Medicago truncatula: one gene and its partner. Each later gene encodes a partner of the first gene's protein in a complex. Links are inferred from orthologs where the notes say so. Each region holds a gene or a part of one and is shown on either strand. Other genes may lie near its edges.

Region 1 (12,784 bases):
CTTTATGCTCCGTAGCTGTTCTAGTGCATGAATATTATTTGAATGAGATGATACGAAATTCATATACATTGAATTCCTTGATGTTACATGAAAGTGGTCACCAAACTGCTCAAACAACATATAAAGCTCGTCTGCTGAATTCTGCAGAATGTAAAGACGGATCAGGAGGGGAAAAAACATAAAGACACTGCAATACAGAAAACCCATGAAAATGAAAACATAGGATGAAAAACAAATTTACCTGATAAAAAGATACAATTTCAGTTGTAGCCATGTTATATACAGCAACAAAAGCTGGATGGTGATCAGCATTTCTTGATACCTGAGGCTTCAAAACATGAATGTCAATACGTCTGTCATACTACTACCTCAATAGAGCACATATTGATTCCATGCAAGTTAAGAGGTTGAGCTCTGTCCACTTGTTACTAGCTAAATCAAATCATTAGGAAAAAAAATCATTCTAGAACCTCCACTTAACAGTTGTAAGCCTTTAAGAGCTGTCCCTAACATGGTATGAGATATCTTGACCTAGTCATCAAAAGTTCAACCGTTGTTGCCACATTCGGATAATTGAATCTCAATAACCAGTTCATGAAACTGTGTTCTGAGAGGACTTGTAAGAAGATAACAGCTCAAGATTTAAGAAGAGTTAAAACTTGGCATTAATTGTTTTGGGTAAGTTAGGATAGGGATAGCTATTTAGAAAAGAACCTCCTACAGAGAGGCTAGAGGTCTACTACAAGGAAACCACTAGAAACTTCAGTTATAAGCAAAGAATCAAATATTATAATGTTCCTATTTAATATTTGGCCTTGGACCCTCTCTCAGGTTCTTGTACGTAATTTTCATTTAATGTGCTTAGGGTCTGTAAATGTTATCATTAGAACAAATAAACAAATAAAAACACGTACAAAGAGAACTTACCCCTCCATCTACGCTGCCAAACTTAATTAGCAAGTGGTGTCGGTCCAAGAATTGCACCTGCCCAGGAATTGAATAGATGATGCTGGTTAAATTTCTCATTGTATATATATATCAAATCAATAGTGAGATGGTCTTGTTTGATGATAAAGCGGTTATAACGAACCAGTTAAGATGCATAAAATGTCTTGATGACCTACCTTCCAAATAATCAGATCAACGTAATCTTGAAAGTGGAAGTAAAACTTGTTCCGAAGTCTTTGGATCCTCTGGTAAATCGGGAAAAAACAGTATTAAAACGATGAATTTACACACTGAAAAGATACAACTTATAAGTAAAAAGTTAGACAGCTATATAATACTACAGGCATCCAAAAATCAAACACAACTACAATTCAGAAACACAAACTAAAGACTGCAAAAAATGCAAAGCAGTAATTAGGAGAAATGGCAAGGGTAAACAATTGACAACGTACCAACGTGTAATAATAACACTCAGTTACAACCACCAAACTATTTTTCACTAGGCAGGGTTAAGTGTAATGATCGATCGATGCATAAAGTCTATATGACAGTATTAGGTCTAGATCAGATCATTTGCCTCTATATTGGCTAATACACTTCATACCAAAAACCAATATTGTATTCTGTATAAAACGAGATGCTTCTAAGGGTCTGCCATTTCAGATTTTATAATGTCTATTTTTCCATACACTTATTCATGTTTAGGAATGTCCTGATAATATGATAAAAAGAACAATGTCCCAATAATGATAGACTATGTGGGGAGAAAAATAAGGGAAATTATAGAAAAGGAAATCTTGTTAACAATATTTCTAGTTTAAGAATAACTAAGCATGCACATGGTTTATTCAGTTAAGCAATGATCATTCAATTCAACAACCACCCTTTGAACATGATTAACTGCTTAATCGTTGATTATTATTCCTAAATTGGAAGCATCTCTAGTGAGAACTCTTTTTAATAATTCCTTCTTTTATAGTATTGCAAAAATGTGTGTGTGCAACAGTTGCAAAGCTGGACAACAAGTCCACGCATTCAAACACATTTATGCTTGTGGAGAAAGAAATATGAATGTACAACACCAAACAATGTCCTATCCATAAGCAGTGACAGTATAAGACAGGAGAAGATCTCAAAACAATTTGCTGTGAAGAACAATAGGAAAGAAACTGAAGCTTTCACCGTGTCAGAGATAAAAGAAAAGAAAAAGAAACTAATAGTATTTGGGAATACGCTATGTGCCTATATCCTTCCAAGATAAACTTCCTGAAACATGTTAAGCATAGAAACAGAGCCAAATAAAACATGGAAAAAGAAGATTGTGCAATAAGAAGTGGATTTATAAAACTAACCAAGGTATCATCTGTTTCTTCATTCCATATTCCCTGGAATATGAATGAAAGCAATCGCTGCTTTATACCACTTAAAAAAGAATTCCCCATATTAGGTTGACCTTGATGCATGTGATTTTCTACATTGTTCTCTGGTACCTGGTGCTGTTTATTTTTGTCAGACAATGACATGCCCTGTCAGCAAATGATTGTCTTTCATGAGTTTAGTCCTTTAATGACATTGTAGATTTTTTTGTCGAAAAGGCCCAACAACTCATCTAATGGAATACTGAACAAGATGCTTGTAGAATAAAGCTAAAGCCAAAAGCTTGCCAACCTGAGCATTTGAATTGAGAAAAAGTTCGTCGTCTTCACGGCAGAATTCCCCAATAGCACGAACATCAACAAGATTACCAGAATCCCTAATTTGAAGAATGTGTATAGTTTGATACCGAAGTGATACAATTGCCAATAGATCATCATACAAGAAGACACCCATATTATGGGTCAAATTAACAAAGTCATTACTGAAGACTTTCTTATCCAGGATCTCTCCATCTTCCATTCTAAATATAATAAGTGAGAATAATCAGAATATGATCTGTCCTTCGATTTTGAAGATCTCAAAGAAAAATACAAAATATAAAGGAAGATGAGAAAGCACCTCAAAAGGTGAAAAGTTATCTTTTCTATTGAAGGAACACCCTGGACAGCTCCGCCAACAGCAGGTGCATCATGAATTTGGGCCGTAGAAGTGGCAAATAGTCCAAATTGATTACTCTCCATGTAAAGAAAGAAATCTTTACATATGAGTTCATTGCAAGAAGCAAGTGGTACGCAATATAATTGGGTGAAAAAACTGTCGAATCTTCTTGCTTTTGACGGCAAATCATGTTGATCACAATCTTCATCATTGCATGAAAATGAAAGCCATCTAGGCCTATAAACAATCAACTCTTGATGATTTCTGCTGAAACTTATAAGGTATTGACCATCCTCTGTGAATTTACGAAATGAATGGTCTGGGCACTCAACCTCGTATATTGTGTAACTTGGTACCAAATTTTCATAGAATCGCCGAGCATGATGAACCTGCAAGCATTAAATTACACCTGCAAAAATTATATTCAATTCAGGTTCCTTCAACAAAGGAACAATACAACAATTTTATAAATTTATCATATGTTAGTTTTTTCATTCGACTGTTTACAAGCAAATTTCCCAAACTAGCACACCATATATAGTATACTTTTGTAATTTCAACATTACAGTCATCAATTTATGCCCGACACTATTTAATACACCCTCCGGTTACTATTATAAACAAAAAAAAAATCACTTTTTATGTTCATTGAATAACTGATGTATGTGCTCTGTAATATTGACCAGATACACAAGTTATTCAATGAACCTAAAAAGTGGGTGTTTGCTTATAATATTGATCAGAAGGTGTAAACCTGTCTGCATATCTAAAAAATACAGTAAAGCAAATAACATAACTCCACTTACCCTTATTTTTCTACCTCTATGTTCTCTATTGGATACTCACACTCTACAATCACAACCCCTGACCACCAAACAAAAAACTAAAAAATCTAAGGGCCTATTTAAGGTGACTTATTTGAGCTTATTTACTAGCATAAACATATGTGAGACTGTTTTGAAGAGCTTACAAAACAGCTTATGACATGTGCATAAGTTGTTTTCAGCTTATTTCCATAAATTCTCCAGTATAACTTATAAGAATAACTTACAGTTTCTATTAAAAAAAAAATACTTTATTCTATCTTTTTTTTTTTTTTGGCTTTTGCACCGGTTTCTAACCCACAAAAGGTGGGTGACTAATTCGGCTCGTGCGCATGCGCACTGGCCAAGCGTTGTTCCCCCTGGGAATCGAACCCGGTATTCCCCGGGTACATCCTTGGAAGGAGCTCCTTGCCACTGTAGCCCAAACAGTTGATCTGAAGCTATTTGTCAAAACAGGGTCTAATTGTTGATCTGAAGTGCTTACAAACTCTCATAAACATTGTAAACATTCTTAATCATTTGTTTTCATTAATTATTCCACACCTTAGCTATTGAAAAAATAAATAATTAAATAGAATCATATACTAGTTAAGAAGTGATTACACTGGTGCCAGGAGCAGGAGTGCAAATTTGACGATCGAAAATCCTAGCCGCAATATTGCTGCTTCTGCTTCTGTAGTACATTACATTAAACCTTGTCTCAAATTCAAATAAACCTTTACCCTGAAAATGAAGAAAAACGAAATTATATTTTATTTTTCTGGAACTCAGAAGCTACAAAGCACAACACACTGGACACTGATAATAATTTGAGAAATTAACGTAAAATTTTTGAGAAATTAAGGTAAAAAAAAATGAGAAATTGGTTGCAGAGAGATTACCGGCGGTGGCGACGGTGTTGACGGGAAGAGAAGTGCGGTGACCGGAAAGAATTGAGATTTGAAGAAATTAATAGAAAGAATGGAGTTTGGATATGACACGTCACCACTTCTTTTCAAGTTTCACTCACCACAAACAAAACAAAACAAGTACTTCATATTTCCACCCACCAACTTACTACTGTAGTTGCTATCAAACACCCCCCAACTACTATTATTGTTTCTTTTTACCTTTTTTATGCCTTTATATCTGGATAAGATGAGACCACCAAATCATATCTCAATTAATAGTTTGATCCATATCCTTTTATTAATGTTAGAAGACAAATGAAATGGCATGGCATTCTTTCAAAAAAAACAAATCAAATGGCATGGCATGGTAATAAATATCATAAAGTTAGTTTATGTAAATTTAGCTTAATTGGTAGAGATATTACATAATATATAGGATAGGTGTTGGAGTCGGGTTCAACTTCTGACACTAAACTTTTCCACATTTAAAATATATATGTGTGCTTGGCTGGTAAAAAAAAAACAAAAAATATGTATGAACTTTAGCCATTAAACTATTTAACCAAAAAAAAACATGAACTCATATTCGTTGATGGTTATTTATAAAATGATTTTGAGGCATAAACTTTGATTTCAATTACAGTGATTAAAATTATGATGTTCAATTAAGCCAATGATTTTGTTGAATGTGCTTACTTTACTCTTAATAAGTCGTAAAGTTTAATTCATTTTGTCTTAATTTCTTAACAAATGTGAAGTTTGTTAATTATGAATATATATATATGAGGACATATTAAATGAGAGGGTTTTTATTGTAAGAGGTGAGAGGACTAAATTATAACCATTAGATCAATCTTAATGGTTGATATGACATTTGGGAACCCATGGTCTCATATTTCTGAATCTTTCTCCACTTCTCTTATTTCCGGTGCTCCTAGTTCTCCTTCCTCATCACGTCATAACTCAAAGTGGAGGTTCTACATCCATAAAATTAAGCTTTGGGGAAATTTTTGAGAAATTCAATAGAAGATGGTGCATCGAAATTTAAAAAAATCTATTCTTTCGAACCTTCACATTTCTATCTTCATTTCAGATGCAGTATTCCCAGCAACAACTTTATGATTCACACTTAATTTATTTATGGTTAAGAGATGAATGGTGTAAAAAAATCAATTACCGCAATTTCTCTTTAGTGGGTTTGATTCTGATGGTGTAATTCTTTGTTCATAAAAAATTAGAGTTTTTTTTTCCAGTAAACAAAAATTAGATTTGATAAAAAAAATGCCTTGGTGTTTGATTTTAATGGTGATTTAATATGGGAAGGTGGAATTCTTCAACAACAAAAAAACCCAGAAGGTGGAAAGTGAAACAAATGGGAAGATGAATAGTGCTTATGAGAAAGACGAGTGAATTTGAAGTGTGTGCATATTTATGAGATATCACGTGAAGTTCTATACTAAGTGATTTAATCTCAGCCCTTTATTTTAATCCAATAGCTAATATTTAATACTTTCATCCTCTCATTATAAGACTCTCATTTGAAACATCCCCTATATATATATATATAGAGAAAGAGTCAGGATCCGTTAACTCCATTGACACCAAATCTCAACCGTCTATTTTATTTAATCAAAGGCTCATAATAATTTCTAAACTAGCTCATCCTTTCTCTTGTGTACACGATTATCGCACCTATTTTTCCTGTACGCACGGATTGCAGCAATCAAGTCTCTTGCATATTTAATTATTATTTTATCATGGTTATGCTTCTTAGTTGAATGGAAATATCATAAGCTTCCAATTATATGCCAAAGGCTGGTTTCTGGATTCACGACAGCAATTCTAATACCACGTTCATATACAGATTGAAAATTAAACCAAAAAAGCCCCAAATTAAAATTAGGGTTTATAATCCATATATGTTGAGATTTCTATTTTATGAAGATTCGCAATTTGCAATTTCCTTAGGATGACTCCCTTCTCTAATTGCTATCGTTTTCATTACCTTCCTCTCCGGTTGCAATCCATACATTGAATTAAATAAGAGAGAATAGAGACGCAGACAAGAAATCATACTAATGGGTGTGGTATATGGTAACAATTTGTCTAAAGAGAAGAGTATCACCGGTGTTTTCAAGTACAATTTTTCAACGATTTAATAAAATAATATTATGTAATTGGGGGAAAGGATACACACCATATTAAAAAATGCGAGCCTTTGATCAAATAAAATAGACGGTTGAGATTTGGTGTCAACGAATCCTGACTCATATATATATATATATATATATGGGTGTATTAAAATGAGAGAAGTGATTATTGTGAGAGGGTGAAAGGAGTAAATATAGACCTTTAGATCTAAATGAATGGTGTAGATTAAAAGATCCACTTAAAATATCAAGTGACCTGTTAATTACTTCTCCCACGCACGTACATCCAATCCCATGGAAGAAAGAAGGAAATACACGCTTCATATTCCTCCATAGCAGTTTTCCTGAAAGCAATTGACGATGGAACAAGAAAGTTGATATAATTAATGGAAATTTTGGAGATGAAAATTGTTTTAAGATCAAACAAACCCGTTTAAGAAAGAGAAAAATAAACAAACCCATCTATGTATCTTATTTTTTTCTTTCGTTTTCTTTGTCTTACAAAAAAGAATTAAGCTGAATACGTTAACCTAGCAAAACCAGAAAATTAAAATTGGCTTCAAAAAGGTCTTTAACTATGATCACATCTTAGCATAAAAATAACTATAATAAGATATGTAGGTTCGACTAATTAAAAAATCAGGCTTTCTTATTACTAAGTTAATTTAAATCTAATCTGGAATTGAAAACAATAAGTGGTCCTTAATTGACAAATGTTCTTTTTATTATCCAATTATCCCAGTTTGTTGTGAGGAAATACAGGGGAGAATCAGCGAGAATGAACAATAGCGTTTGAGAGAGAGAAAGCAAAGGAAGAAGGAGACGCGTTGAAACATAAAAAAAAGGCACGTGAAACTTTTAAGTGGATCTTTTAATCTGCACTATTCATTTAGATCTAAAGGTCTATATTTACTCCTCTCACTCTCACAATAACCAACCACTCCTCTCATTTGATACATCCCAATATATATACAGACACTACAAACGACGAATTAGTTCGGTGCTAAATACAGATCTTAAAACTCTGAAAATGTCATTAGAGAAAAATAGGTGTAAATTTATTTGTGCGTCCTTTTTGAATAAGATCGTCTCGATTTTGACTTGAAGCATCTTTCCCTCAAATTAAGCTTTCTCGTATTTACTCACGAGACTATTACTCTTCTTATATTCTCTTTCTTATAAACTTTGATTGCTTAAGTATTTTAGTTTTGGTACAAAATTCTGGGTGTTTTAAAAACTCAAGATATATTTGGTCTTCGTTTTTCATGTACAATTAAGGAATTGCTTTAACATATGTTGAATGAATTGAATATAACCGTACAAGAAATTAGATAAAGGGAAACAAAATTGGAGAATTAGAACGAATTGAATATGATACTCTTGAAACATTCAAATTCAACTTCAAATGGGGAAAAAATTAAATTTCTGGGGTTTGTTATACCATCCTCGCCATTCCACAATACAGACTTGCCCCAAAAAGGGAACAAATTGCCAACATTTCTCTTCAAAAAATTATTGCATGGAAGACTCTTACAGATATCAATATGCAGAAAGAAGACAATACATTCAGGAAATTAAAAAGCAGGGACAGATTTCACCCATTTCAATCTTATTAGAAAGATCGACATACAACTCGTTCATGATGCCTGCACACAGAACAACTCCTAAATGTTGGGTTAGGTTAATGATGTTAAAACTTAAAATACTTATGTCTGCATACTAAACAATTCCGAAAGGTTAGATTCATTATGTTCAAATAATCAACACTATGAATGCATACTGAACAATTCCTAAAGGCTGGGCTTGTGTGTACTTGGAAAGAATGCGCTGCTCAAAAAAACCAAGGACATGATGCACCAACTACTTGACTTGTGTTTGAGAGATTAAATTGATAGAGTACTCTCAAAATATGATGCACAAGAAGAGAGCAAAAAAATAATAGTATATACAGAAGCTATAACATAACAGGAGAAAAAACGAGAAAATGGAAGGAAAAAATAATTAACATTTATGATTATATATCAAGCTGTGATGGCAATTGTACCCAGAACAAAATAGAAATTACATAATTAGTAAAGTCACGTCCTGCTTCCTTGGAAAGAGGATGACAGTATCCTGAAGAGTCCGTCTGGGTTATCAGCATGTACCTGTTATAGACAAAAGTAAATCCTATTTTAAATAATGTCACAAGAAAGCTCTGGAAAACACGATTCATCCTCATTTCATCTTAAATATGTATCCACATGAAACAAATTCCACAGAAAGAATCTAACTACTAACTGAATCACTACAATAAAATCAACATTCATCAGCATGCAAGTTTCCCTCATACATGCATACCCTCCTCAGTCAAATCAGGAGAGAGAATTTGCACCAATATGTGTGTGTGCACAAAAGACATAGCTAAAGCTTTTAAGTCTTTATGCTTCATTACTTAGGGACCATGTTGAAATTGGACCTAACCCATCCGTACAAAACCAGCTTGTAAGGTGTGTGTCCTCTTTATAAACTCTTATCAAGAGTCGTATCTATCCAATATGAGACTTGAGTTTTTCCCAATACACCCCCTCACACCTAGCATTGGTGCATGACCTGATCGATAGGCTCTGATATCATGTTGAAATAGGGTCTAGCTCATCCTTACAAAACCACCGGCCTATAAGGTAAGGAGTGCCTCCTCTTATCCAGAGTCCTATCTATCCTTTTTTTTTTCTAAGACAAAATTGCAAAATATATTAATAACTAAGAACCAGAAGAGAACAAAGAATGTTTGAAGAGAAAACTACTAATCTACTTCTGGTAGTGTTGCTACTTCTGGTAGTGTCACTAACCTAAAATCCTAAAACCAAACATAACATAGAAAATATTAACAAAACTAGCTATATCTTATTAATCACTAAACCCTACCAACAATTTGAAATTAAAAAACCAAAACGTACGAGTCGAGTATAGTAAGAATGAGATCAACAAGCCATCGACTTCTTGAATTCCTCAAAGTTAACGTTTCTGTCACAGTCAGCATTTACGTTGCTTACCATTCTCTGACAATCATTGTGGGAGCACTTCTCACCAAGTTTATTAAGAATGATGTGTAGTTCATTTGGAGAGATGAGACCGTCCTTGTCGAGGTTGTAAAGGTCGAAAGCATCGTGTAGCTCATCGTCTTTTCCGGCAGCAACAGCATAAGTGTAGTGGAAATCGGTGAATTCTTTGAGATCAATGTAACCGTCGCCGTTCTGATCAATTTGTTCCATCATGCGTTTTACTTCACCAGATGTCATTTTGGATCCATGCATTGAAAGCATTTCTTCCAGCTCTGAGACAGAGATCTTTCTGTCGTCGTTCTTGTCCAACATGTTGAAGATGTTACACACCTTATCTTCCACGACGTAGTAGTGTTTACTAGAAAGCGAAGGAGGGGAAGAAATGCTTTCATATTCTTGAAACCAAAACGGCAATTACGCCAAGAACGACTAGGTGCGTAACATCTTCAACAAGTTCGACAAGAACGACGACGGAAAGATCTCTGTCTCAGAGCTGGAAGAAATGCTTTCAACGCTTGGATCCAAAACGACATCTAATGAAGTAAAACGCATGATGGAACAAATTGATCAGAACGGCGACAGTTACATTGATCTCAAAGAATTCACTGAATTTCAATGGGATGATGTTGTTGTTGCTGCTGTCGGAAAAGACGACGAGCTTCGTGATGCTTTTGACCTTTACGACCTCGACAAGGACGGTCTCATCTCTCCAAAAGAACTGCACATTTTTCTTAATAAACTTCGAGAGAAGTGCTCCCTTAGTGACTGCCAGAGAATGATAAGCAATGATGATGTAGACGGTGGTGGAAACGTTAACTTTGAGGAGTTCAACAAGATGACGGCTCGTTGATCTCATCTCTACTATACTCAACTTGCATGTTTTCCTTTTTTAATTTTAAACTGTTGTTAGGGATTAGCGATTAAGAAGATATCGCTAGTTTTGTTAATATCTTCTTTGATATTTTTTATGTTATGTTTGGTTTTAGGATTTTAGGTTGGTGACTTCCGATGTATTAGCTCTACCAGGAGATGTAGATTAGCAGTTTTCTTTTCAAACATTCTCTTTTCTCTTTTGGTTAGTGATTAATATATTTTGCAATTTTCTATTCAAAAAAAAAAATGGATAGATAGGACTCTTGATGAGAATTTATAAAGAGGAGGCCCTCCTCACCTTACAAGCCGGTTTTGTAAGGATGAGTTAGGCCCAATTTCAACATGGTACCAGAGTCTATCGATCCAATGTGGGACTTGAGTTTTTCCCAATAGACCATCATACAGTTTCTTGAGAGTCAATGTTTGTCCGGAGCTTTTCAACATTAAACCAAATAGATCTGGCCTAGGATTAACCAATCATGAAAGGAACTAATAAACTAATTATGCCAATATACAACCAACTCCTTGATGAAAAAGCCGGTTAGTGTTTTATAAGCCTGGTGGGCCAACAATGACATGTCATCTCGGATCATTTGCTGCCATGCAACCGGTGCGACCAAATGTGAATTTTACATTGACTTCACAACCGATATTTAGGTGTACCTGCTGCACAACTGCAGATAATCTCGGTCCTAAATATGTTTCCCCCTTCAAAAATTGGAAGATCTTATCCAACGAGACAAAAAAGAAAGAAAAAAAAAAAGAGGACATGAATATTGATTTTAGTTTTGTTTCAGTTTATTTTCCTGCTATGTCGGCTATCTGGACAATATAGTAGTGTAGAACGTCTTTTTTTCCTGTCAAGTATATTCTCGTCTAAGCCAAAGGGAGGAATACCCCTTTGTTTTGTTTCAGACTCAGTTTATTTTATGTTGTTCAGGCCAGCTAGGAAATTATTGGCTGCAAAGAAGCCCTTTTTTGCTGTCAAAACTTCTTTTCATCTTGCCCCAAGGGAGGTCAATGCCACAAGCAAACAAACATAAACCTTGAATTGTTGAATGTCTTTGATCATCTTAGAATTCTCACCAACCGGGGAAAGTGACAAATTACGAACTAGTAATAACATACCTTAGAACAGGCCTAGAAGTCGAAAAGATTAACATAACTTCAGTTGAAAATGCAATATGATGTATGTCAAATTACCCTTAGATATCACCATATCAAAATTGTCCTAGTATCAATTCCAAAAGAAAAAAATCACTAGTATCATTCAAGATGCTATACGGGCACCTAGCAGCACTAGATTTAAGTATACGTTGGGAATTCCGCATTAATTGTGGTCCTCCACTAGCCGCCTTAGTTGCGGCAGTATGTGGGTTGCCTTCATTGTGACCTCTTGCACCATCCTTGTGTTGAAGGCTTGCATTTAGTCCCACATCACCTGGAGATACGACCAAAGTAGTGCTTATAAAGTTTGGATAGTTCTCACCTCACAAGTCAGTTTGTGGGGTTGAGTAAGACCAAACTCAAATTCGAAGATGATATTAGAATCTATCCTAGATCCATTGTTGGGCTTCCCGCATCATCCACACCTAGGATTTAGGGGATGTTTTGGAAATTCTGCCATAATCCACACCTAGCCTTGATTGCAGCATTTCAATTGTTGCAGCCTCCAACACCATCGTAGAGTTGGGTGTGAGGGGCTGTGTTTAGTCCAACATTGCCTAGAGATATGGTCCAATGTAATGCTTACAGAGCTTGGACACCCATACCTTACTAGCCAGTTTTGTGGGGAGTTAGGTCGCACCCAAATTCCAAGAGTACATAATAAATAATTAAAACCAACATCCCCTAGCCACACTTATTCCCTAACATCTACAACATTATGGAGCTAGTGGCTACTCACATTATTAGATAGTGTTTTAGAAGATATCATGAGAATGGTCCATGTAAGGTGAAAGGCATGCGAAAAAGGGGACCGTACTCTAAAAGAATAACCATATATCATACCCAGTGGCCAG
Region 2 (12,561 bases), on another chromosome or scaffold:
TCCACCTATTTTAAATTCTCATTCACATCGAGTATATCCTTGAGCTGGCTTCATCCATGCAACCTTACCTCGTTATGTTTGCAAACTACAAAAGGCCCTTTATGGCCCCAAGCAAGCTCCTTGCGCCTAGTTTCATGCTCTTAGAGATTTCCCTCTTCAATTTGGATTCATAAATTTGATGAGAACAATTCCTTATTGACTTACAATAATGATAGCATATTTCTACTCGAAAAGAACTGTAACACTGTTGCTCATTTTTTTTGTTTATCTTGATGATATTTTGCTAATAGGGTATAGTGCCACATTTCTCAGCAAGTTCAAGACCTCTCTTGCTAAATCTTTTTCTCTCAAGGACCTTAATTTTCCAAATCACTTCATCGGAGTAGAGGTTTTGCCGACATCCCAATGACTTTTTCTAACACAACGTCACTTTATTTGGCAGCTGCTTCTTACTTAAAAGTACCAATATGGCAGATGCTAAGCCAGTTTCAACACCTATGTCAACATCCCTTTCATCTGAAACTCAACCGGACTCAACAACTTTTGATGCGGACATGTCTAAGCCCTCTTTTAGACATGGACACCGACACGACACTGACACATACATTTATACAAAATTATGTGATTTTTTCAAATTATTAGCTGTGTTGGGCATCTGTGTCGTGTTGATGTCCATGTCCGTATCCGTGCTTCATAGGGTGTGACTAATATTATCAGTATGAATACTTCATAATACTAGAAGAAGGAAAAAGCACATATGAATAATAACAATTAGAGTGACTTACAGAGAAGGAAACCAATAAAGAGGAGGAGAAGAAGAGGAGTGATGATGATCATTATAGATGGTATAGTAGAGAAGCTGATGCAAGGGATGAGGGTATGATGGTTTGAGGACTTTGCGGCTGACGAGGTGGCGCCATGTGTCAGCTGAGGAGAGTGAGGACAATGGCAGTGACAGCAACACTTCCTTCAATTCATTGGCTTCGGCAGCTGATAAACCAACCTTTACAAAATCATCAATACCCAACTCCATTACACTCTTTTTTCCCATTTCTTTCTTTCAATTTTTTCAACTTCAAAATTCTAAGCAAACATGAATACGGTGGTAGTTGCAGGTGTAGATGATGAGGTGGTTGGTGAATGGGTGATGTGATAGATAACAAAGCATGGTGGCTAGCTACTACGTGGTTGGTTGCTCTGTCCTTCAAGTTGGTCAACTCAAAATTTAATTTTACAAATGTGAAAATCAAAATTGTGATAATTATAATCATATTCAGTTCAATGATTGTTAATATTTTGAAATGTAGTGATATGATTATTTTAGTTTTATTTTATATTAAAATTGTGTTCAAAAATAGGAAAATTTGTATTAATTTAAACGGTAGATTTTTGTGTAAATAGCTTAAGGACATATAATATAGTTTATGGTGGATCCAATAATATTTTATAAGTTTAAACACATATCATAATTTATTTTAATGGTGCACTCATATGAGAACTTTTCTTTTTTGGAATTGGTGAAGGGAAATCGATTACCGAAACAGGTTTCGATTTCCTTTCCTTGGATCATTACGAATTCGATTCCCTCCCAGAGGCGCCGCCTCAACTAGCTTCTAGGAGCCAATTGTAGGGTACCAAAGCCTTTCTAGAGGGCATTCGAGCCCCTAGGAATATATTGACGGTCCAGGGCTAAAACATAGGACACTAAATTTGTCATTTTTTTTATTAGGGGGCCAAAATTGCAACATTGAGAAAGTTAAAGGGTCAAAAGTACACTTAAGCCTTTGAATTATAACACAGCTTGTAGGCAGGAGATAAGCTTGTTACAAGTGCATGAACATGAACCATCATTTTCATTCACATAAATATTGGAACATGATATACACGATGCAGAAGACCAACTATACAACAAACCCTTTTCAACAGAGTGAAATTCATCTGACAATAAAGTACATATTGGAAAGAATGTGAAATTGCTAGGCAAACAAACGACTCTTATATCATATTATTCACTTGGCGAATCGGATAGTCCATTCTGCAGCAATATCATCATGTTTTGCTCTGTCTCCCAAATATAAGTGAGCAATGACAGGAACAACAGCATTGTCTGCAACAACAATAACAACTTTACATTCTAAGATCATTTTTTTTAAGAAGCTACTTGGAGTATCGGCTGATTTTAAGTGTTGTTATTACTTTCTATACAAACAAAATGTAAATATTGGTATTACTAATACTGAAAATTAGTTGAATCCGGTGTTAAAAGACATAATCATTAGCGGAGTGTCCTATTAAATCATGCTGCTTTTTCAAGACATGGAGGTAATAATACAATAGTTTCCTCTTTTCTTGCATTCAGAAGCAAAAGGCTCTAAGTATACAAGTACCATGTAAACCTTCATCCCTATATGTAAGACTCCTTTGTAAATTTTTCTTTTCCCTTTTATAGGATCATTTTCAAATTACAAGATACATTAGTGATCTTTCACAAAAATACATACCCTTAATTAAATGGGGAAACTAAAAGACTAATCATTTATCTCTCTTAATATTGATTGATAATTCGGAAAAGAGATTGTACATTGTTGACAAATTTAATATAGAAATATTTTTCTTAATTTTCATGCATTAACTAAAAGGATATTAGATATAAGGACAAAGGTAGTAGCATTCAAGAAGAGAATAGACAAACTTACAAGGGTCAGGATTTGTCAAAAGTGATCTAACAGCAAGTAGCACCTTAGTAATTGTTAGTGCCGGACTCCAACCATCCTTCAATATTCCCATACTAACACGGCCATCAGGTTCTACATTGCAGTGGTAAATGCGAGTTCTGAAGACTACCTGCTAGTTCAATTTAACAAGGCAATACACAACAATTAAATTACTTTTACCTCCACATAAATTATTTGTTGTCTGCATATTGCCTTTTTATTTTTTAAACCTATACCAAACTCTTCGAACAGAGAAGTTTATGAAAAGTTGAGAGAAGACATGTTACAGGAAGTTTATAGGCTTTGAAAATAAAGGGACTGTACTTGAACATTTACATAATGGGAAGGTAACAGCAATTTTCTCAGAAGGAAAAAAAAAACAAGCATTTTATACAAATACTGATAGGTACTAACACTATCAATCACAGTAACAGCATCAAATAGTATTGAAAAGATAAAATGGAGAGGGTTTCATTAATCATAGAAAGGAAAAATAGCAAAGGAAGCAAACTTCCTGATACAACTGAGAGCTATGCTCACCGACTCAGAGAATATCACAAATCTCTGCTCCTAACAGAATTCTTTTTCTGACCCCTTCCTCCACTACCCCAATCCCAATACAACAGAAGTGAGTCACGCATCACACCCCTTTTCTGCCAGCTCATCATTCTCTTCTTTCTTTCTATTTTTCCTAACATACACTCTCCATATTTTGGGTACACGGTGTGGATGACTAGACACGTCATCAACACCTAAACTCTCATTTCCAGCTCTATCAAATACAAGTAACCAATTTATTAAATTCTACTTGAAATACAACTTAAAGTTCCCAATGACCCAGTTAGCTCCTTCAAATGACATGAACTTGAACAAAACAGTTAGCCAGTGAACTTTCCCTATATCAAATCAGAAGCAAAAAAATATGTGCATTCAAGCCAGTGAATAACCTTTTTTTTCACTCAATATTAGTTAAATGCATACAAAATGATATATTGTTTATTGCTTCGAAAGTGGGAGAATGGACTCAAATAAGAGGATGTAAGATTCAATAGTTCAAACTTGTTAAACACAATAACAGACCACCCAGTGACTAAATATCTTGTAATATCAGCTACGACACTATCCCTATCTATGTTGTCAATAGCAGGTGATCACACGTGATAATGGAATTGTAGCAGCGCAGCTGCGACACTTACAGCTGGTATGTCACATTGGCATTATACAAGGGTAGCTATTTCGACTGAAAATTGTGTTTGACTGCCACAACAGCCACCTTTGATGCTAAATGCCCCTTTCACCCCCTGATCACTAGATTTATTCGGCTTTTTGGTCATTTTCCCTGAGTATTCTTGGTCAGCAGCTTCGGCCGTTCTGCACCATGCGAAAGTGAAACTCACTTTCTCCTACCTCCGTTTTGTGAAGATCCGAAGACACACTTGCTCCCTTACCTTCTTTGTTTTCTTCCAGAAATGGCTACTAGGTTTTATGGTAGTGGTGACGACTACCGTGTTCTCCTCTGTTCTCTGCTCCTCATTTAATTCTACTGTGTTTCTACTCAACCCTGGTATCATGTCAACCATAAACTTCCCAAAGTGAAGCCTTCCTAAACTACTTTCTAGTCTTCACAATAGAGGCTTTCCCTCTATCTACTATCCCACTTTAGCGGTTTAGGGGTCGACTGCTCCCCACCACTAGGATTAACAACACGGATCCCTTTATGAAAAAGAGAAGGATTACAAAAACAATTTTATGCATTTTCCAAGAATTATGCTTGGTATCCCCATCCATAGAAGGGGTGATACATACCTGTAGAATAGTTCACTTCATTAATCTGGCTTCCCCGAGAAGGATGTTACTCTGGTCTTGCCTTTAAGAATTATGACTTGAGCCCACGAGTAAAACCATCCCAAAAGACTAACCATGAGTTGAGAGAGCATTCTGGCTAACCACCCATGATTACATTCATTCTTGACTCTTTTGGTATAGGTAGCCATTTTCCTGTTAGTTCCTATTTTGCTTACCTATCCTACACGGCAAGCTCTCAATAAAACTATCAAGTGTTTGTATGACTTGAGCTCTAGAGAAGAGTCCATCCCAAAGGACAAGCCTATTGGGTGGGAGAATCCTATGGCTTAAGTATCAATTCATTCTCTAGCTTTACTCAATGTGGTGCACAATATAAGCCTAAGACAAGCCCATCGCCTTACCAAACTAAATGTATATAGAATTACAACTTTTATGTCAATCAGTAACAAGCATTAACTTCAAGGAACTTAACGCATTCATTATATAAAAAGATTTTAATTTTTATACACTGACAGTGTAAAGTTACTTTACACATGCATCCAATAATGTGTTGTTGCGTTAATTAATGAATACGACAACTCATATTTTCAATCACATTATTAGATGCACAAGTAAAATAATTTTATACCGACAACGTATAAAGATTAAATCTATATAAAAATAAAGTTTCATTTCATGCTAACATTCTTCCACCACATGCCAAAGCAAACAGCAATTCTAGAAAAAGAACCAATTAGTACCTGGGGAGGCTTGAAGGGATAGTCAGTAGGAAATATTATGTCAAGGAAGAATATGCCACCTTGGTAAGGTGTTCCTACAAACAAAAAATCAAATTGATGATAAATTCAATCTGAACCCAAACAACCTAAGCTGAATGGTGAAGATGGTGAACCTGGGGTGCCAATAATGGTGGCGATCCAGTGATAGAGATTATCACCCTTGGGACCAGCAGAACAATGAGGAGGAGGGTCGTTGTTGAGTTCAACCATTTCTCTTTGAATTCTCTTTCCAGAAGCAGACACTGAGGTTGTCGGTGCCCATGATGATGTTGAACTTCTTCCTCCTCCACCTGGTATCATCACTTCACCTCCTAAACCCTATTTCCCAATTCAATTTTCGTTTAGCTCATCTATTCTTCTTCAGTAATCAATGTTTTTCTCTCATTAAGAATCAATATCAAACTCATTCAAGTTGTTGTTACTAAGACATTTTTCACCATCAACACTTTCAACAAGAATACACCGGAAGTAGTAATATTTGGGATAAATTCATAACGGTTTTGACAATTTTAAATGTATTTAATTTTTTTTAAGAAAGAGAAATTACGAGTAATATTACAAAATTATTATTTATTAATAGTATTTAAAAGAGAAATTTAAAAATTGAAAGAAGACAGAGTCTTCAATAGTAAATAGTAAGTATTATAGAGAGAGAAAAAAAATCATTAATGTTTTATTGATATTATAAAATAACTTATAGTTTGAGGCATGTTTTTTTATTAAATGACTCGTAATTTTTTTATTGTTTTAGGGTGAAGGATATAAGGTTAATAATACATTTCAAAATAATATGTTTTGTTCTACTTCCATAGGGATTAAAATTGATTCTGAATGTGTAGATTTAATTCTGACATGTTTGATTGTTGTCGAGTAGAATTGATTCTACCACCAGAATTGATTGTACTTGAAGCTATAATTCGTAGTTTTTATTCTAGAATACTTTAAAAACTAATTTATAAATATAAGGAAAAAAAACTCATTTTCTTTGTCCCAAAATATAAGTAAAAAAGACAAACTTTTATCCTATTTAATCTTGTTTTTCTAAAAAATCTCTTTTCCAAGAAAAACTTTTGTTTATTCTCATAAAATTACATTAAATTTTCTCTCTCTTTTATTTTTTCCATAACCAATAGTCAATGAAAATTGTTTTTACATCTTCCTGTAAAACTTTTTTCAAAGAAAACACAAAACTATACTCTAAATTCTTATGTTTTAGTTTTTTGTGATTTTTTTTCTTATAATTTGGGACGGAGGGAGCACACTTTTAGTACATAAAAATTAATCTCACATACTTATGCACTAGCAGTGTAAATTATTAATCCCATGAACTTTTTCGTTAAAAGACCTTGAATATTGGCGTTTCCATTGTGATGGCTTTACCTCCCCAAATTTTATATAACCAACAGATTTGACAACTTATAATCTCAGATTTTTGCAATAGAAATTTCCTCCTTACATATCAAACAGTTTGGAACTAAGGTTATCTAATAAATCTTACAAACCCTTTGATAAAACTCAAGTCTTTCCGCTTCTGCCTCCCTAGATCATCAGGGTTGCAACCATAAGTACCAAGACTCAACTCTCCACATGGGCCTCCCCAGTTCCCTCACCACTACTTCTGCATTCTTGTACTTTGCTCCCACAATGAAGAAGAAATAAGGAAATCCCATGACCTCGTCACCTTTATGTCACAACCAATTCCGCAGCACTAAGTGCCAAAGATTGAAGGAACTTGTTGCCATAACAAAGGATCAAGGGGAAGAACCCCTTCAGGATCCTCCAATTCCTCCGGCATACGCAGTCTCCGCAATACAACGGATTTAACCACCAGATTAACATCTACTGCATCCATTTTGATTCTTGGTATTTTACATTCCAAATCCATAAGTCAAATTCCAGCCAAATAGAAACACTTTTGATGAAAAATTTCCCATAACAAAGCTACTCTAAATGTACCAAAGCTGTTTGTAGTTGTACTAAAAAAATGCGCCAAAGCTGTCCAATTCAAATCAGAGAAAATAACCAAAGAGAACACATGAACAGACCAATGTCATAAAATCATAACAGTAAAGAGACAATAAATAAGAGAACCACGTAAATAAATATTGGCATTCATCTCAAACCAACTACATTAAACCACAGAACCACATAAATGAATGGATAAAACAATAAGAGAGTTGTTAATTTGGCAAAAGGCAAGAAGCGACTAGTTCAGCAGGTTTCATGTGAGGTGAAGTGGTGAACTGCTCAGCAGAAGATCAAACTATATCATTCCTGATGTTACAAGTTCATGTTCACGCAGTTGCGGATGCTAGCTTTGGCCGGTAACAAGCAAGCATGAAAGGTAACATACTCAAGTGCAACTTCTAATCAGCGCTAACCTTCTTCTCAATACTTGAGTTGCTAAGTATTATTACACCAACTATTATGAGTGAGGCACCTGCAAACCACTGTGAAACATTTTTTTGCATCAAAAAATGTGTGAATGAATAAACTGAAAACATAAAAGGCAAATAACCAACCACAGATTCTTTAGACTTTGTTTGAGCCCTAATTTTATTTTTCCCTTAGAACCAACCAATAGTTTTTCTGATTTTTAGTACAGCAAAACTATAAATTGGATCCTCTCTCTCATATGTACCCGTAATAGCAAATCATGATACTTGGTTTATCTCGATCCCACATTAAGCAGTTGGAACACACGTTACATGTAACGTAATGGATAAATAAACTGAGTGTGATATAAAAACAGAATTAAGGGTCATAATCATGAAATTGGTACCATTTCAATTTTTAGTTACAAATAGGGTAATTAATATGTAAAGATTGAAATTGAAAGGAAAAAAAAAATAAAAAAAATAGTAACTACCTGGAAAGAGAGATGTTCATGAAAGAAGAAGAAACCGGCTAAACCAGAAGAGATAAAATTGGTAGCGAAATTGGTGACAGTAGCTTGAAGAGAAGAGAGAGCTTTGAGACTGTTGACATAACAACACCACATGGTTACATTGAAGAATACCACGAACCCGTACTTAATCAAGATGTGAAAGGTGAACTTAGCGAAGATGGCTGCAAGAGCGGCGTTCAATCCAGCAGATACTGCCCACGCATACCCTTTCCTTCCATTTGACGATCCTCCTCCCTCCATCTTCCTGATCACAATCGCTAACTATTTCACCCTTCCTATTTAGCTGTTGTCAACAACTATAAAACTTTCAAGATTGTTTTTTTTTGGTACAAAGATTACTTTAATTTTATTTTAAATAAAATAATTAACTTTTTTTTGGTTTGTAATAAAATAATTAACTTGTATATCAATCTAAAATTATTTTAAAAAGAAATTAAATGAACAAAAGAAATCAAAATGATATATTGAACAGAGAGTCATCTTTCAGGTACAAGCACAAGGTGTATCACAAAAGACACTCACAAGATACAAACCAACTTTCAACAACAATGAAATAAAGGAAAGTTGTTTGACACTCTCCACAAGTTGCATATGAGAACCCTGAGTGCCTCGGAAAATTCTAGCATTCCTTCCAAATTACCCAAGTTGTAGCAAACCAAATCAAATGCATGAAAGAGCGTCTAGATTTACCGTACCCTGTAGAGAAGTCGAAGAATGAAGTGATCCAAAATATGGGATGGATCCGCTGAGTGAACACAAAGCAGTTCCTAACAAGCTGCCAAAGATATCCGAAAAAAGCACAAGATGCGATTAAATGGCATTCGAATTCATGAAGACCGCAACCACTAACACAATATCGAGCCTCTACGGAATAGATTCGATTTTGAAGGCAATCGATTGCGAAACAAACGCCAAGTGAACACTGAAACCTTCAAAGGCACATCCTTCCTCCATAAAAGCCTCAGCAGTATCTGGTAATTGATATGCGTCGTATCTGTGAGCAAGCGGTAAGCACCACTAGCCGTGTAACCATTGGCTATGTCAGGGGTCCACCTCCAAGCATCAGCAGAATCAACCTGCAGCATAGCTGTTAACAATAAAAGTCTACACTCTTCTAACAGCTCCTCCTCCTACACCCAAAACTTCCTCCGCCACTTCCAAGCTTCCCCCACCCACATCCCACCCCCAATGAAACATTTATGCCACAGTAGATAATTTATTTTCAGATAAATCGTATAAGCTATGAAATGTCTCACAAAGTGGGACATCACTCATCCACCTATCCAACCAAAACAAGGTGATATTATATATTTATGTAGTTCTTTTAACCAAAAAATACATATTTATGTAGTTCTTTTAATTTTTTTAAAATATCAAAGTATAGACTTAATCTTACCCTTTTTTTATAAAACTCAACACTCGCAAACACCTCTAAGGCACAATAAAGGTAGAAACTAGAAACTTTAACTTTATATTGAAAATTGTACATTTCATTTCTTAAAAAGTTAAAAATTGTTTCTTGACTTTTCTTTTTATTAGAAAAATTGATAATATTTACTTTATCCTCTAAATTGAAGTTCGTTATTTTAGATAAAGTTCTATCCTCTTTTTTTTTTGGTCAAGAAGTTCTATCCTTTTTATTCACACATTATAGTAGTAACATGCAAAAAAAATGCAGTAACCCTTGCTATAAAAGTATGAACAGCTATATGGGCATCCTTCCTAGAAAACTCTTCCAAAGAGTTGAACATCTTAACTCATTTAAACTTATTTATCATATATCATGGTGGTTGATATTTATAATTGACAATTAAACAAACCCTAGTTATTCAAATAAATAAAAAAATTAAACAGATCTTAGAAGAGGCGAACCATTCATTCACCCAAAACAGGCAAGAAAATGAAACTACTCTAAAAAAAATGTTGGTTCATCATCGCTTTCACAAGTTGCAAACCATTCACTGCACTTTCTAATGGTAAGCCATTAAAAGTTGGTTGGTCTTGCGCACTCTTCTTTAATTAATATACATCAAATCAACCAACCTTATGTAACGTCACAATGAAGTAAAATGAAATGAAAATTGTCATTCTATAATTTAGATATTTTTATAGTACAAAGAGAGAAATAAAAAAATATTAATTGGAAGGTGATGAAAATACATTTTTATGATTCATTTTGTTCTATTTTATTTTAAACAACATAAATGAAAAAGTTGGTATAGTTTCACCTGTTCAATTTCATCTTTCAATCAATCCACATATAGCCTTTAGAACCCGATGGATAGAGATTTTTTTCCCCAGACAACTCAAAATGAAGTAAAAGAGATAACAGTGGCAATAATTTCTTCTAGATTCAGTTCAGTTTTTCTCCTAGAGCTAAACCACTAAATTAAGCAACTATCTATCATAAAAGAGATAAATTACAAGACCTCAAATGCACAAGATGTGACATAGCTATGAAGAATAAAATGGACAAAAGAAAGTAAGAATCAAAATCGATGAAAACTACATTATAATTGAATTGCAATCTGAAGTGCATAAACCTTTTGGTCAAAGAATCATCAGAGCAAAAAATACACCAATAGCAGAAATCATATACTGAAGGGTAGACACTTGCAGGTTCATACTTGCTCCAAAGGGACTTGAAGAAGGTCCAAGTGCCGTGGGAGGTAAACTCACTCCTCCAGCGCCAGAGCTGATATCAAAATAACCCATGATCAGATAAGAATTTTAAAGAGAAACAATTAGTTCTAAATTTAATTAATCATGGATGTGTATAGATTGAGATAAGATGTATACCTTCCCGGGAATCTACAGGATCCATAACCTGAAACAAATTACGCAGTATTAAATGGTTAAATGCTCGCAAGGAAACATTTAAGTAATTATAAACTTGTCCTAAAAAAAAAGTGATTATAAACTTTGAATGGAACATAGAGACTTAAAATATCATTTACTTGTTCGCACAAATTTATAAGATACATTGTTGAAAAAGTCGGCTACCATTGGAGTGAATCTTTTTATGACAAATTTTTAGAGTATATCTTGTCATGTCAACAAAGGTGGTCCACAGTGGGTAAATACTTGAAAATCACTTGAAACTCCAAAGACGACTCATGTAAAAGCACAAGGTCTTCCACATCATAATGAGTAAGATGGTGACCTGATAAGTACTAGTTTGAAAAAAAATAAGGGAAAATAAACGTGAGTGTATCAAAATTCAACTCATTTGTTTACCCTTGTGTTTGTCGAACCAGCACTCATCAGGTCACAATCTCACTCATTAGTCATTAGAATAAGAATGACCGTGAGCTTCTACTTACAAAGGGAAACATTAGCCTTCAATGGTATTTTATGAGCTAATCCACCATAGACCATTTATCAAAGTCGTCAACTGTAGAACCCAGTTATCTTGTCATGATAAATTTCATGTCTCTCTTCAAAAATATTTGCAAATTATTCAATGTCTTTGAAAAGAGAAATAGACACAGTTTTAACTTAATAAAGTCATGAAATTTTAATAAGACAGAATTCACCCCCCACCAATAGTTTCAGAATAATGCAATCAGTTCCAGGATGCCATAAGAAGAAATTTCTAATAGCATAGTTATGTGAAGTTTCAATAAGTTTCATGCCTAGGCCATGCGCATCAGGATCGCAAAAATACTACAACATTCCCAAATCTAAAAAAATGCCTCGTGAAACTGGACTGAATACTGAGCCGTACAGTGAGAAAAGAAAAGAAGCGTTTATTTTAGAAGCATTTTACAGCTTAATTTATTTTTAGAAGCATTTTACAGCTTCCTTGACTTAGAAAAGAAAATAAGTCCTGCCGTCCCCTTCCTTTCAAAATCCTCCATCCAAACATACTCTAATACAGATTTACGGGGAGATAGACCTATAGAATCAGCAAGAAAGCATGAGACGCATCCAAACAACATTAATACTAATACTGACGCAACCAGCTAGGATCTGGGCAATTTCTTCCAGACAAGTTAATAGATCATTGAAGAGTGACACACTGATATTATAACTCCGGTTCAAAATTATCAATCCATGAAACTAGATTCAGCTATAAATGTTTATTATATAATATAATGAATGGAAAAATGAGGGAAGTACCTTCCATGTATTTGAATATCCTAAACGAGTAAAGCTAATACTAGTAAACAAAACAGCACCTATACTTGAAATAGGGTCATTATAATTCAACGAAGTGGTCCATGAGATGGCATCAGTGTCGCTATAATCATATATTCTAGAGTTCAATTATCATTGCCCCCATTATCAGTAAAAATGTTAAATTTTAGTACAAGATTGGGTGGGCTTGAGCATTGCCTACACTTCAAGCCCA

Evidence for each region.
Region 2: light-mediated development protein DET1 (region 1) and constitutive photomorphogenesis protein 10 share a complex: the UniProt entries of both Arabidopsis thaliana proteins name them as parts of the CDD complex. The link is inferred for Medicago truncatula from reciprocal best matches to the Arabidopsis thaliana genes DET1 and FUS9.

The regions. Positions count from the first base shown.
Region 1 is NC_053046.1:1,904,176-1,916,959, reverse strand, and holds the start of light-mediated development protein DET1, read right to left. Parts: upstream 4,919-12,784; 5' UTR 4,688-4,918; intron 4,530-4,687; 5' UTR 4,491-4,529; coding exon 4,410-4,490; intron 3,372-4,409; coding exon 2,944-3,371; intron 2,846-2,943; coding exon 2,617-2,845; intron 2,475-2,616; coding exon 2,301-2,474; intron 1,194-2,300; coding exon 1,125-1,193; intron 985-1,124; coding exon 928-984; intron 329-927; coding exon 242-328; intron 142-241; coding exon 1-141. Other genes in the region: abhydrolase domain-containing protein C22H12.03, read right to left, coding at 8,925-8,993, 12,774-12,784. UniProt on the Arabidopsis thaliana protein: Component of light signal transduction machinery. Involved in repression of photomorphogenesis in darkness by participating in the CDD complex, a complex probably required to regulate the activity of ubiquitin conjugating enzymes (E2s).
Region 2 is NC_053049.1:39,597,046-39,609,606, forward strand, and holds constitutive photomorphogenesis protein 10, read right to left. Parts: upstream 5,790-12,561; 5' UTR 5,600-5,789; coding exon 5,413-5,599; intron 5,335-5,412; coding exon 5,261-5,334; intron 2,845-5,260; coding exon 2,697-2,844; intron 2,108-2,696; coding exon 2,010-2,107; 3' UTR 1,757-2,009; downstream 1-1,756. Other genes in the region: probable acyl-activating enzyme 18, peroxisomal, read right to left, coding at 786-1,051; uncharacterized protein, read right to left, coding at 7,666-7,749, 8,169-8,447; glucan endo-1,3-beta-glucosidase 4, read right to left, coding at 10,758-10,902, 11,007-11,034. UniProt on the Arabidopsis thaliana protein: Component of light signal transduction machinery. Involved in repression of photomorphogenesis in darkness by participating in the CDD complex, a complex probably required to regulate the activity of ubiquitin conjugating enzymes (E2s).